Linked DNA regions of Arabidopsis thaliana. The protein of the gene in region 2 interacts with the protein of the main gene of each other region in a pairwise test. Each region holds a gene or a part of one and is shown on either strand. Other genes may lie near its edges.

Region 1 (8,102 bases), on a different chromosome or scaffold from region 2:
TTTTTGTATATGTTGCGTTTTCGTTTATTGTTGATTTATATATTCATCTAAACGTGCTTCCAGTTTTAAATAAATTTATTTTGTATTTGTAAACTTAAAAGGCCACATGGAAAATTTTCAAAACTTTACATAAATGACTGAAATTACAATTTACACCATTTTTCTTCACACACTTAAGAAGAGTCAAGACTAAATTTTGGAACATTCAAACGGGCTAAACCATTAAGCATCTTTGTCTGGGCCGAACTCAAAATATATCTCTGTTCAATCCGTGCCTTCAGCCCAACATGTGTTTTTTCAGCCCAATAAGTTTCTTGCATGTTTTGAAATAAATAATGAATTTTAGTCGAATTACTTTCTCTCATATCGGCATATTTTGTTCATTTTGTTTGATGAATGGGTTTAAGTCGTCGAAGTTGGTTAACCGATATCGTAACGTAAGATTGAACCGGAGTTTCAATACTCGTTACATTTTTTCGTATTCTAGCTAACGTGAACGGATGTTGTTTATACAGCTTTCTACTACAAAAGTAGATTTCAAAATTGAACTGCGATTTTCTTCTTACTCTTCTAGAAACACTTCCTCATATTTAATAAGAAACGAAAGAATTAGACTCCGACAATATTGGGAATGTTTAGTTGTCATTTGGACCCAATATAATCAATTCCATACATTTGCAATTGCAAGGTGGGTGAGTCATCAAAATTTATGAATCTTCCAAAGATTATAGATAGAACAGCTTTTAATTAGCCTAATAAACAAAAGGAAATACGATTATGCATACAAAATAAATTAAATATTAAGACTTTTAATGAATTCTTAACCAAAACCATATCAAGTCATATCATACACTATCCTCCATACACGTGGTAGCATACATAAGTACGTTAAATAATTTTATTTAGCAAATAATTTTATTATAATCATCTTTGATCACCAAGATCATGTTGGGCCATCCAAGCCACGACTTTAGTAATGTGAAAACAATATCATAAGGAACGAAACACTGTTCATTTCATACAATTAAAATACAACTTTTTCCTACACATTTTCTCAAGAGTTTAGTAAGTGAGAGACGAATGATTTGAGAAAACAGTTTTTACTTTTTTCGATTTGTTTCTCAAACTCAGTATTTTCGGATTTCTAATCCAGATTAAAAGTTCTGAATAAAATCACGGGGTATGGAGCAAAGCCGATATAAGTAAAAACCTTTCCATATTGATAGACACTAGATTTTTTTTTAGTTCATAAGATAGATACTAGATTTAGTTTGAGTATAATGGATTAATGTGGAACTAGTTGTATTGTTTAGTATGTGTATGTTGTATGATTTAGTGACCGTCTTCAGTTTTCTTGATGTCTTTCCACGTTTTACAAATTCTTGAAAGAACTGAGAACTCAAATGTATGATACATAACCATTGAAAAAAATATTTCCACCATCATAAATAGAGTTTTACGAATCGTTTCACAACTTTTAATTCAGTTGACACCATTAAATAATCAATATTTCTTTAGTTACAATTCAGTAGAATAAAATTGCATATGCTATATTATCTAATTCTATGAATATTTTCTGTCTATGATATTTGATTTTTATATACTTTAGATTTTGGATCACCCCCACATTATTTCGCTTTTCAGTCACATTTTGTGTTTAATATTGCTAGATAAGTCCGTGGTTATAGCTTACTTTGTTAAAATCATATATCTCAACTTATTTCATAACAGTATCTAAAGAAGATGGAATTTTATAAATATATAGACACTCAAAAATCAGAAGAAAATATATATCCACAAATAATAGAAGAAAACATAGATTTACTGCATTCAAATCAAGGGACATGAAAGAATATCCTGGACCCAAGTGGGTTATATTTTCAATAAAATTTAGCAAAAAAAGTTGACAATCAACTAATCATCACCATTATTGGCCATAATCATTACGTACGCATACACATAGCCACGATGTCTACCTATGTTTAAATCTTTGAATTCTGAAACTACGTATCTTTTATTTTTGTTTAAAAAAAACCTAGTACGTATCTTCTTTCCTTACTTAGACATCATCTTCTAACTTTAAGGATCGAAATTAGAAGAAAAACAAATGATTAATATCTACAAGAACAGAATTTTGCATTTATACTCAGATACTCTTCTAGTACCTCACAAAAATAAAATGAAATTGGAATTGAACACGCCCTAAATTCAAGTACTATACGGTCTATACCCATTTGAGTATATGAATAATGCATATTGTGAGTGAAAGAGATAGATACGATACACTCTTTTCTTTGTTTTTCAATTGGACAAAAGGAAACAGATTTTGATCTCTGAATTGAACGGTCAAGATCGTATATAATTATTTCAGGAGATTAAGATCCCACGTGCTTAAAAACTCTCTGTCAGACTCTTTATGTATAAAATCCTCGGCCCACTCTTGTTTTGATAGTACACTCAATAGAAAGACACAAAGAAAGAAAGAAAGGACAAACAGAAATAACAAAACCTTCCATTTCAAGAAAGCATCATCTTTGTGTGTCCGAAAAATGGAAGATCTCGACCATGAGTACAAGAATTACTGGGAAACCACAATGTTCTTCCAGAATCAAGAACTCGAATTTGACAGGTGCTTACTAGAATCTTGGTCCATTTTTTTTTTTTTTGTTTCTTTAGTTTTTTTTTCCGATAAAGATTAATCTTGCTTTAGTTGGTAATTAATGAAAATTGTTATAAATTATAAAATTTAAGTTGGCCGATGGAGGAAGCGTTTTCGGGTTCCGGCGAGTCGAGTTCGCCAGACGGAGCGGCAACGTCGCCGGCTTCTTCGAAGAACGTTGTCTCCGAGAGAAACAGACGGCAAAAGCTTAATCAGAGACTTTTTGCTCTCCGGTCAGTTGTTCCCAATATAAGCAAGGTATGATTAATTATTCCATTACTTCTCTTATTTGTTTAATCAACTGTCTCTTTTAAATTTAATTTGTTATCCAAATAATTTAGTAATAAAGTTTCGTCACCAGCAATTTTTGTTTTGGTCAACAGAAATTAAATAAGCGAATAAACTTTCTCTTCTTTCTTTTGTAAAGAAATAAAACTATACAAATACAATCTGGTTAAACCAAATCCAACCAACATTAAACAAATAAGCAAACCAAATTTTTGATACTCTAAATCCATATCAAGCCATACTAAAATGTATTTTGGTCCCCTAATTACCCTGATAGCATATAATTGTATACGTGTGATGATTTGTTGATTAAGACTGGATTTTATTGAAGTATTAATATTTATCTATTTTTAGTTGGACAAGGCATCTGTCATCAAAGATTCTATCGACTATATGCAAGAACTTATTGATCAAGAGAAGACTCTAGAAGCAGAGATCAGAGAGCTAGAATCACGGTCAACATTGCTAGAAAATCCGGTAAGAGATTACGATTGCAATTTTGCGGAAACTCATCTGCAAGATTTCTCAGACAATAATGACATGAGATCAAAAAAGTTTAAGCAGATGGATTACAGTACTAGAGTACAACACTACCCCATTGAAGTTCTCGAAGTACGTACTATGCATTATTTGGCAGTACATTCTAAATTACCTTTCTTTTGAGGTAAAGTTAATTATTCCAAATTGTTTTTATATAAACATGAAAAAACAGATGAAAGTGACATGGATGGGAGAGAAGACGGTAGTGGTATGCATAACATGTAGCAAGAAAAGAGAGACAATGGTGCAGCTTTGTAAAGTGTTGGAGTCTTTGAATCTCAACATTCTCACTACTAACTTCTCTTCCTTCACCTCTCGTCTCTCCACCACCCTCTTCCTCCAGGTCACTCTCTCCCTCTCTCCCTCTCTCATATCTTTATTTGGCAATGTGATTACTAGTACAAACTACAAAATTCTAAATGCATCTAGAGAATACTGTACGTGTCTTGTTTTGGTTTGACGCTCATTTTGCACTCATGGAGCGAAATTATAAAATGTTAATGGAAAGAGATGATAATATAGTTTAGAAGATTCTTGCTAATAAAGAATGTTAGATCAATTGTAATCAGCTATAAAATTAGTTTTATGCACTTGTCGGACTATAAAACACACCAACCAAATATATTTGTCCATTTTTAATTTGTCGCAACTATTCAGACTTTTATATACCAAATTCAAATCTTACTATTTTCTTTTCTTTTTGGTTATTTTGGGAGAAAAATGGTCGTCTGACGGCACGTAGACAAATCCTTTAGTGGACAAGAATTAATAATATGAATAAAAAGCATATGACTAAGTGCTTTAGTAAAGTGGATTGTTCTTTTGTTTTGGTAAAGAAAATATGTTATCTTTACGTAATAGTACAAAAATGTAATTCAAACTTACGAATTGTTTGGAAAATCACTATCAAATTCAAAAGGATAACCTTTAGACGGACCCATTTAATTACTACTTTTCTCCCACCTGTCTCCATTAAGTGGACCTTAATTCACATTACACCTTAAGTATATATAGTCAGTAATATCTTAATCAATCAATTAAAGCTCCAATTATTGAGGTTGCCTCGAGCCCATCACATTTTTTTCGAATTTCGCCTTGACTTTTTCTGATAGGGTTAGATTCTCTCAAAAGTTAAATGTCATATTCCATAAAAAATTAGGATTAACTTAATCAAAAAATTAGTGTGTGAAATCTCAAGTGCCTCGTGTCCCAGAAAGTGCCGTCCAAGCATAGTAGCACTAGAAAAACGTGGCTAATTTATAACCTCACGCGGTTCAACGTTTGTCTCTTTCACACTTTTAGCACGTGACTTTTCTAGCACTACACCTTATATCAATTCTTAACTCAAATTAACAATAGGCTACAAATCAACTGTAGCCAATTAGCAAGTTATTTGTGTTAACTAGTTGTATATGGTTCATAAGGTCTTCATTATGCTAATCATTTTGGTAAAAATTAGTTACTCCAAATGATATCCATAGCAGTTCATGGTAGAAATTAAGGTTTGGTCCTTTTTAATATAAGCAGATTTGTTAAGAGTTATTATTTTGTGTTTTTACTCTAAAAAATACAAATTCATTTCATTATCTCTATCTATTTGATTTGTTTATCATCATCATATACTAGGACTTTGGTGTAAACAATCTAATTACAAAAATGCTAGTTTCGTGAACTAACGTTCTATTTTTTTTGAAAAAGGTAATTATATTATAAGCTGTAGGTTGGAAATTTTTGATGACAACAAATACGAGTATTTCTTGCCTCACAAATGAATATAATATTATGTTGGTTTTCTTTGACAAAAAAGAATTATGCACCTTTATAACATTTTCTTGATAAAAGATAATATAATCAGACGCTAAAATTACAGTGAGGTATAGACCAGTGGAGTCATTGAGAGTTGGTGAAATCATACTCCAATCATTTATCAAATAAAAAGTCGATCATTTCATTTCAAACCTGTCCTTATCCGTCCTTTTAAAGATTATACAAAAACATTAAACAATGATTTATCCACCAATCTCATTTTCCACGGGAAATAATTATAGTAGTAATGCGTGCAGGTGTATATACACAAATTTATCAGTTCTAATTTTCTTTTTACGTGCTGCCAAAAAAAAAGAAGTTTTTTTTGTCTGATTCGTGTAAAACCTAAACACCCCTAATTTTAATAATCTATACTGACGTTGGACTTCCTAGAATCCTAATTTACTTCAAAATTCTGTAAAGATATCGTATGATTGAAATAATATAGGACTGTTTTAGTTTATATTGTGATAGATGTATTAATTATAGTAAATCGTTGAATTTGCAGGCGGATGAAGAAGAAAGCAGTGCAGTAGAGGCCAAGATACAGATGGCCATCGCAGCTTATAATGATCCAAATTGTCTTATCAACTTCTAATTTACTTCTGGTTTTTTACTTAAATCCGTTTTATGCAATATATGTGAAGAGCTACTATTGTGAGGGTTTATTTGTTTGAGCTACAAAACATCCGATGTTTTCTAATAAAATAAAACAAAAATATGCATGTTCCTTCTTATAATCTTAAAAATTATACTTCTAAAAAAATCATTTGAATTAATTGCAATCATAACCGAGTATAAGAAGAAAAAAACATAAAGAAATATGGTTAAACTAAAAAAGCAAATATGACTTTATAAAAGATTTTGTGGATACTTTGTCTTTGAATTGATGAACATGAATCAAATGCATATTGTAAGTTGCAAAATAGAGAGACTTGCCATTTGTTTCAATTTGATCTGTAAAGTTAGGCAACAAATGTTTAGTAAACTCATAAAAGTGACAGTAGGCTTTGTTAAGGAGTTATGTTCAGATAATTGCAGATTTGTAAACAATTTATTCTTACCGCTATATACACTCGGTCTAAAAGCTTTCTCTATAACCATCATCTTTCTATGATTATTACTTGGTTGAAACTAAAAATATAGTTGCCAATCTTACTCTATCTGTAAGAACCTAAATCTTTCAGCTTTATTATTTTTTAAACTAAAATTAAAAGCCAAAGTTATTTGGAAAAAGGGAATTAAAAAAAAAAAGAGAATAAAAAACGAAATGTACATAATTCAAAAAAGAGAGCTAAAAAGTTCCATTAAAAAAAAAATCCCAGTTTTATTTTTTTCTGGGGGATTTTATCTGAAGTTTAAATGACACATACAAACTGAATAATACACAAAACTACATTAGGTACTCTCTTAGACTACGTTCCAAAAGAATCTAACAATACCAAAACTTCTGCAAAGGACTTTTTTCTTTTCTTGATATATATATATATATTGTTACCTTTTCTCCTTGATCTCTGCTATTGGAACATACACTACTGAGTCTTCTTCAAGTAAAGGAGAAGAAGAATTGCCTAACTTTTTTCGGCCTTTTGGTGTTTTAAATCTATCAAGCCTCTGCGTCACGTCCAGTAACTTGTTTTCTGTTCTACAAAGCATCTCCATTACTGCTTCCAATTCTTCCTCTTCCGTCATCTTTCTCCCCGTCTCCTTCTCTTCTAAGCTCATTTCGTTGCTTAGCTCTTCATGTGACTGAACACAATAAGAACAAATAAACTTTAAAAATCTACAATTGTCTAAAACCACTTGTCAAACCAAATTCATGGAAGCGATACTTGATCATGGTTTCTTTAATATAGATATGTTCAATAAACTCATTTTGGCGAACCAGCTAATTTCATTTTACCTCTTCCGTCATCTTGCTCCCTGTCTCCTTCTCCTCTACCGCTGTACTTAAGCTCATTTCGCTGTTTAGCTCATCATGTGGCTGAACATAATAAGAAAAATAACTTTTAAAATCTGAAATTGTTTAGAATCACTGGTCAAGGCAAGTTCATGGAAGCAGTACTTAACCATGGTTGTTAAATATCAGATATATATGTTCTATCAACTTATTTTGGCAAATCGGCTAATTCATATCTTACCTCTTCCATCATCTTGCTCTCTGTCTCCTTCTCCTCTACAGCCGTCTTTAAGCTCATTTCTCTGCTTAGCTCTTCATGTGGCTGAACACAATAAGAAAAAAATTATTTAAAAAATTTAAAACTGTTTAAAACCACTGGTCAAGAGCTCAAGGCAAGTTCATGGAAGCAGTACTTAATCATGGTTTTTAGTAATAGATATGTTCAATGAACTCATTTGGCGAAACGGCTCATTTGTATCTTACCTCTTCTATCATCTTGCTCTCTGTCTCCTTCTCCTCAGCAGCCGTCTTTAGGCTCATTTCACTGCTTAGCTCTTCATGTGGCTGAACACAAAAAGAAAAGTAACTTTGAAAATCTAAAATTGTTTAAAACAACTGGTCAGCCAAGTTCATGGAAGCAGTACTTAATCATGGTTTTTTATTAATGGATATGTTCTAGAAACTCATTTTGGCGAAACAGCTAATTTATATTTTACCTCTTTCATCATCTTGCTTTCTGTCTCATTCTCCTCTACAGCCGTCTTTAAGCTAATTTCGCTGCTTTGCTTTTCATGTGGCTGAACACAATAAGAACAAATCACTTTTAAAAATCTAAAATTGTCCAAAACCACTGGTCAAGGCGAGTTCATGGAAGCAGTACTTAATCATTTCTATCTTACCACTAGAACG
Region 2 (6,811 bases):
GGCAGGCAAAATCTGTTAGCCATATTTTTGAAAGACACCCAGAGATTGCATCTGAAATCCACCCAAAGAACTCAAGTCTTAGGACTGGTTACATGAGTTTGCTACTCAGTCTGATTGAGACTTTATCTCAGTCACCTCAAGAACTCTCCAAGGATGATTTGTGTGACGTATATATTGCAATTGGATGTATGAAAAATGCAGGGTTTAAGTTGGATTGGTTGGAGAACAAACTTTATGAGGTGGCACAAAAGAAGGAGGATGATGAAGCTGGTGAGACTCGGCTACGAGAAATGGAGGAAAAGTTGAAGGACTTGAAGCTCAAGTGTTCAAAAATGGAAGCGCTAGTGGAGGAAGAGAAAGCCAAGGTGTCGGCTGCAAAAGCTCATCTCTCATTCGATGATGTTGTTTGATGTTCTTGTGTTTTTAGGACACTTGGAGGTTGGTTCTGCTTAGTGTGCTGGTCTGTTCGTTTATAGGTTCGTAATGATAGTCTTCTTAAAACTTAAGGAAGATAAAAGAGACATATCTTGGAAATTTTCAACAATGTTTTCAAGAGGAAGTTCTAGGTTTCTTCTAGAAAATATTGAGTTTCTTGCTGTTAAAGTAATGTGTTTTGAGAGTGACAAGACTAATCACCATAAAACAAGTGGACAAATATTTTAAGTTTCTTGACTAATCTCACATTCTCGCTCTCATATCCAAAAACATGGCTCTTTTGTTGAGTAAGTGGGAAATCACTAAGCTTGGATCATAACTTCCATTTTTCTCTACCGTCATGAGATTTAAGGCTTGAATAGTGGTGCTGCAAAAACATGAGGAAGGATTTGAGAAAAGGAGATGGAGTGAAAGTGAAGGATCAAGTGAGAAACAGAGTAGTACTCTATTTTCGATTGTGCTAAACCATTATGTTTCTCCTCCATTTTTCTCTTTTTATGTCTATTTTTATATTAACCTTATCAAGATAATAAGTAGCCGCTTCTAATCTCATACAAACTACCGAAAAAGATTTAGGAAATGATGATGATTAATATCCATTCAAATTGTGTCATATCTTCCAATGATTTCGAAAGATATCCTAAGAACAACAAGAAGTGAGCAAAATAGTAAGAACAACATGTGAGCAGCACGTGATTTTGATTAATTTACGTCAAAAATTAAGAAAAGGAAATTAGACCATCTTTATCAATCGACTCTTACATAGAATTATAAACAATTTTGATATATACAAAATAATGTTTAAATATTAAAAAGGCTAGAGAGAATGTATCTAAAAACTTTTAGCTAAGAGCCATTTTTCATCTCTTAAGTATACTTTTTTTTAATTTTTTTATTCTTATTTTGTTTAATATAATATTTTAATAGTTCTTATGATATTGTTAACAACCTATGGATAAGGATGCTCTAATGAAATAAAGAAACTATGTAGAATTAGATATTGCACTAACTTGATTTTATTGATTCACAAAGTATAATATTTATACAAGAGAGACATCGTATAAGATATACTCTAGTCCCTAAAATATAGGACATAATCAGAAGATATATAGGAATAATCCTAATGAGATTAATCTCTATCCCCAATACTTAACAATGTAGAAAAGGAAAATACGTTTCCTAGTTTTCCTAGACGACTTATGTAAGCTTTATAGCTAGCTATAAATATGTATATCTCAGGAGATCAAGTCTATTTCTTCAGATCAATAACAGCTTAATTTAAGCAAAAGTTTACTTTAAGTTTTTATTTTTTCTTCTCTTCTTGTCAGAGCGATTGATTGTTCTTCATTCCCTACCACAATTTCCGATCGACAGTTTATTCTTCAGATTCTGTTAGTGGAAAATACCTTCAAAAATCCTGAAAGATGAAAATCATTCGCAAGGATTTTGTTCGTAATGGACCCGGAAGCGTTAAGATGATGGCAGAGGACTCGGATGATCTCTGGTATACTTATAACCTGATTGGCCCGGAGGATAGTGTAATGGCTATCACTTTCAGAAAAGTTGGTGGTGAAGGAAGAGACTCGACTCCATCGCTAAGTCGAATAGAAAGCAAATACCTTGGAAAGAAAAGATCTTTCACCCGGACTGAACGTGTTAAACTTAAGCTAGAAGTACAAGTTGAGGAGGTGGACTATGACAAAGACGGCGATGTTATGCGCATACGCGGGAAGAATATCATGGAGAACGAGCATGTAAGGATTGGTGCATTCCATACTTTGGAGATTGAGCTTAAACGACCTTTTTTATTGAGAAAGGAAAATTGGGACTCACTGGCTCTTGATACACTCAAGCAGGCCTCAGATCTTGCAGCTAGTGCTGATTTAGCTGTAGTTCTAATGCAAGAAGGACTGGCACAAATCTTCCTTGCCGGCAAAAGTGTAAAAAGTTGCGGTGCACGAATAAAAACATCGATTCCTTGGAAGCATGGAGCTGGAACGGCTGGTTACGAGTCAGTTTTGAAGAAATTCTTTGAGAATGTTGTGCAAGCCTTTCTGAAACACGTTGACTTCAGTGTGGTTCGATGCGCAGTGATTGCAAGTCCCGGGTTTACAAAAGATCAGTTTCATCGCCACCTATTGTTGGAAGCAGAGAGAAGACAGTTGAGACCTATTCTTGAGAACAAATCACGTTTCATTCTGGTGCACACAAACTCAGGATATAAACATAGCCTAAGCGAGGTTTTGCATGACCCTAACGTGATGAATATGATCAAAGATACTAAAGCAGCAAAAGAGGTCAAAGCTCTCAACGATTTCTTCACCATGTTTTCGAATGATCCAAATAGAGCATGTTATGGACCAAAACATGTGGAAGTTGCTCATGAACGAATGGCAATCCAAACACTTCTCATTATAGATGGGCTATTTAGGAACTCTGACGTGAAAACAAGGAAGAAGTATGTGGATTTTGTGGAGTCGGTGAAAGATTCAGGAGGAGAGGTTTTTATATTTTCGTCAATGCATGCTTCAGGGGAACAACTAGCACAGCATACTGGAATTGCAGCTATTCTTAGGTTCCCTTTACCAGATCTAGAAGACATTGAGATGTAACATAGTATTTCTAAGAAAATCTTTTAGGTTCTTTTATTCACTTCTGCTCTAATATTTAGTTACTTGTTTTGTAAGGGTATGACTTGAACAAATTGTTGCAAGATTATATATATAAAAGCGTCAGTTATCTTCATTAAATTAAACAAATATTTCCTAAGTTTACTGTAAAAATCTGTATCCTTTACTAAAAAAAAAAAAATCAAAAAAGAAATTGGCAACCCCTTTTGAAAACGTTTGGCATCCTGTTCCTCTCTTTAACACAAAAGGACCTAAAAAGCCTTGGAAGGTCTATTCACCAAGAAAAAAGGAAACAGAATCTCAAGTCCAAGTTTCTTTCCTTATTGGAAAAGTCAATTCCAAAGAAGGGATTTTAGTTTCTTTCCTTATTGGAATTGGATATCTCCCTTTTTTTGGTTTAGAGGATTAATGTTATAAAAATGGTTGAATCTCGTTTTTGAACTATTCGATCCAAGTAATTTGGTTTTTGGATTGGGTTCGTAGCTCTGACAAACTTGGACTAACTTGGACAAAGTGGGTACGAGTTCTGACTTCTGAGTCGCTGTTTCTCTTTCAACTCGCCTCTCAAGGGTAATCGCTTTATTCCCTTAATCTTGCATGTCTTAGAATATTTCTTTTCCTCAACTACGGTCAACTAGTTTTAAGTAGTTTAAACTGCTGGCTGAAACTTCATATGTCTTTGAGTTCATAGTAAAATCTTTGTTAAACTAAGAAAGAATTTGTTGGAGAGTGTGTGTGTTTGATACTTTGATTGGTAGGTACATGAATTTGGTTTAATTCTCTTCATGCTGTTGTAGTTTCATTGCGAGTAATATAATGGAGAAGGAAGTTGACAAGAAATTTGTCTGGGTGATAAAGGATCTCAACGTTTTTTATCCTAAGCAGAGTCATTCTGATCCCTTTCTGATTGCTGGCAGTAGATGGTAAAAACTGAACCAACTTTTGTTCCAAACGTACTTTTCATCTAATTATGTTCTGGTGATTTGATTTTTTTTGTAGGCGTCTTCTAGCCTTACCAAAGGGAACTAACTATGAGTTCTTCTATCAATACATGGGGGTTGCTGATTCTTGTCAATCACTGACTTCTTCATGGAGAAGACATGTAAAACTTCGCTTAACTATAGTAAATGGAATTTCTCATAAACGCTCCATTGTGACAGGTTATTCTTCTATTTATACTTTTTGCAAAATGAGTGACTGATTTAGATTAGTTTTAATGTGATATTGATGTTTTAATACTTGTGGTGATGCTACAGATTCAGACCTATACTTTGATGAGAATCTTCCCGCTTGTAGTTATCCAACAGTACCACCCCCTTTCAACCTTCTTGCAAGAGATGCAGGGTTTCTGATTTGCCGAGAAATAACAATTGTTATTGAGGTTGTTTCTCTTGAAGTTATTGGCACATCAAATAATGATGGTGCCAACTCTATTGATTTACTCAAACAGACTCAACAAATCATTGATGTCAATGGGTTTCAAGTTCTTCCTTCACAGGTAAGAAACTTAAGATTAATGCGAGTATACTTCTTTGTGGTTTTCTGTATTTAAATACTCTGATGTACAAAATGTTTCTGTATGTATTCAGGGCTTCTAAAGCTTTTATGATATTTTTTTCTTCTTCTTTCACAGGTAGAATCTGTGAAGCGTATATTTGAAATATACCCAAACATTGCATCAGAAGTCCCTTCAATGAAACCATGTCTGAAGACATTATACATGAATGTACTCCTCGGAATAATTGAAACGCTGTGCCAACTGCCTGCGGAGCTCTCTGATACTGATCTGGATGAAGCATCCATTGCAGTTTTATTCGTGTCACAAGGTGGCTTTAAAGTGGATTGGTTGGAGAAGAAGCTCAAGGAAGTAAAGGAAAAGAAGAAGAATGTGGATAATGGTAAGGCTCGGCTGCAACAAATAGAGGAAGATTTGCAGAAACTCAATCAGAAACGCTTAGACCTGAAAGATATTCTAGACAAGGAGAAAGCAAATGACTTGACCGCTAATGTTCCTCTCTCGTTCAATGATGTTCTTAAGATGTTTTAGACAAGGCTTTGAAAAACTGCCCTCTGATAAGGCAGAGACATTTTGTGGAGATCCTCTATAGGTTGATGTCTTGAGTTCTTTCTTAGGCATTTTGTGCTAAAGCATTGTGCGCTTGAAGTGTTTTTTTTTTAAATTACTTTAACCAACATTAAATTTAGAAAAGTTTAAGATGTGTTTTCTAGAAGAAATCAATAAATCAAAGCAGAACATAGAAGAAGTAGTTAATCCCTTGAAAATGAAATATATGCAATCCCTTGAATATAGGAGCTAAACTGTATCAAGTAACTACCCTTGATCATATCCAAACTAAAGTGTGTTTAAATTATACAATCTAAATTTTTGAATATGGAAATTTTGGAAACTGAGTAACAAGAGAGACAGAGTATCCCTGGTAAATCACCATGGTTGGGGAAACTATTGATTATTTATAGTATGCATTAAATTATATACAACATTAGTTACTCTAGTTTTCAAGTCATGTTTCCTAAGCCATATAAAAGTGATTCACTTTCCTAATAAAATTTGATTTGCATTCATGTAAGCGTTCAGAGTCTGAAACCCTTTTTTCCCTTAGTCTCCGTTGACTGTTGTCTTAGAACAACCCTTTTCATTGTCTCTTCTCATTAAGGTAGAGTTTAGTTTTTTTTAAAGCGTTTGGTTCGACCTTGACGTCTTTATGTGGAAGCTAAGATTACTAGCGTTGAGGATATCATGTCAGTTAGAGTCCATAGTGGAATTTTAGGTTTTGGTTTTTATTTTGTTACTCGAGATGTGTTTCCTTTGGTATATAACATGAATTTGGGTGTGTGGCATTGTTTTAAAGGTAGTTTGGTTGTGAGGAGTCTTTAATGGAGAGTGAAGAAGTTGATAACAAGTTCACTTGGGTGATTAAGAATTTCTCCACTTTGCAATATGACAAAATTTATTCTGATCCATTTGTGATTGGTGGCTGCAAATGGTACTTAAGAAACTAAAACTTTTTTTCTAACTGTATTAGTCCAATTTAGGTTTACGAGGACATCCACTTTTTTTTGCAACTGCTTTTTGTTTGCAGGCATCTTCTGGCCTATCCAAAGGGAAATAAATTTAATAATAGTTTGTCTCTGTATCTGGTGGTTGATGATGCTAGAGCATTGCCTTGTGGATGGAGAAGATATGCACAATTCTCCTTAACTATAATAAATCAACTTACGGACAAACTCTCCCAACGAGGAGATAATTCTTTATTTCTAAACTTTATATTATAAAGGATATTTTATGATTCTACAACTTGTCATGGACACTCATGTGGCTTTGTGCTGCTGCAAGATTCTTGTTATGCATTGTGCAATTTTATTGCTTGTTTGGATTAGAGTTTCTATATATTTCGTGAACAGAGAAACAAAATTGGTTTAATCAAAGAAATCTTGGCTCGGGTTTTACATCTATGATCCCTCTTCCCAACCTTCATGCCAAAAATGCTGGGTATCTTGTGAACGGAGAAGTCAAGATTGTTGTGGAGATAAATGATCTTGAAGTTATTGGCAAGTTAGATGTATCAGAAGAATCTGAAGAGACAAACCAACCTCTGAAAAAGATAAAGCTAGATGATAATGATGCAGTGTCTTTTGATTCTCTCAACGAGACTTCACCAGTAAAGGAAAGCATTGATGTCAATGGGTTTCAAGTTCTTCCTTCACAGGTAAGAAACACAAGATTA

Evidence for each region.
Region 1: the proteins of AT3G58380 (region 2) and AT4G29930 interact in a two-hybrid assay, tested with the Arabidopsis thaliana proteins (one large-scale study listed by BioGRID).

Annotation. Positions count from the first base shown.
Region 1 is NC_003075.7:14,641,559-14,649,660, forward strand, and holds AT4G29930 (basic helix-loop-helix (bHLH) DNA-binding superfamily protein), read left to right. Parts: upstream 1-2,435; 5' UTR 2,436-2,549; coding exon 2,550-2,629; intron 2,630-2,751; coding exon 2,752-2,917; intron 2,918-3,301; coding exon 3,302-3,559; coding exon of another isoform or gene 3,560-3,610; exon of another isoform or gene 3,611-3,659; coding exon 3,660-3,947; 3' UTR 3,948-5,801; downstream 5,802-8,102. Other genes in the region: PRHA (pathogenesis related homeodomain protein A), read right to left, coding at 6,788-7,042, 7,197-7,277, 7,435-7,515, 7,677-7,757, 7,910-7,990, 8,093-8,102.
Region 2 is NC_003074.8:21,596,266-21,603,076, reverse strand, and holds AT3G58380 (TRAF-like family protein), read left to right. Parts: upstream 1-3,468; 5' UTR 3,469-3,635; intron 3,636-3,862; 5' UTR 3,863-3,881; coding exon 3,882-3,988; intron 3,989-4,064; coding exon 4,065-4,225; intron 4,226-4,321; coding exon 4,322-4,563; intron 4,564-4,698; coding exon 4,699-5,112; 3' UTR 5,113-5,278; downstream 5,279-6,811. Other genes in the region: AT3G58400 (TRAF-like family protein), read left to right, coding at 6-410; AT3G58390 (Eukaryotic release factor 1 (eRF1) family protein), read left to right, coding at 1,860-3,047; AT3G58370 (TRAF-like family protein), read left to right, coding at 5,961-6,070, 6,167-6,327, 6,483-6,655, 6,734-6,793.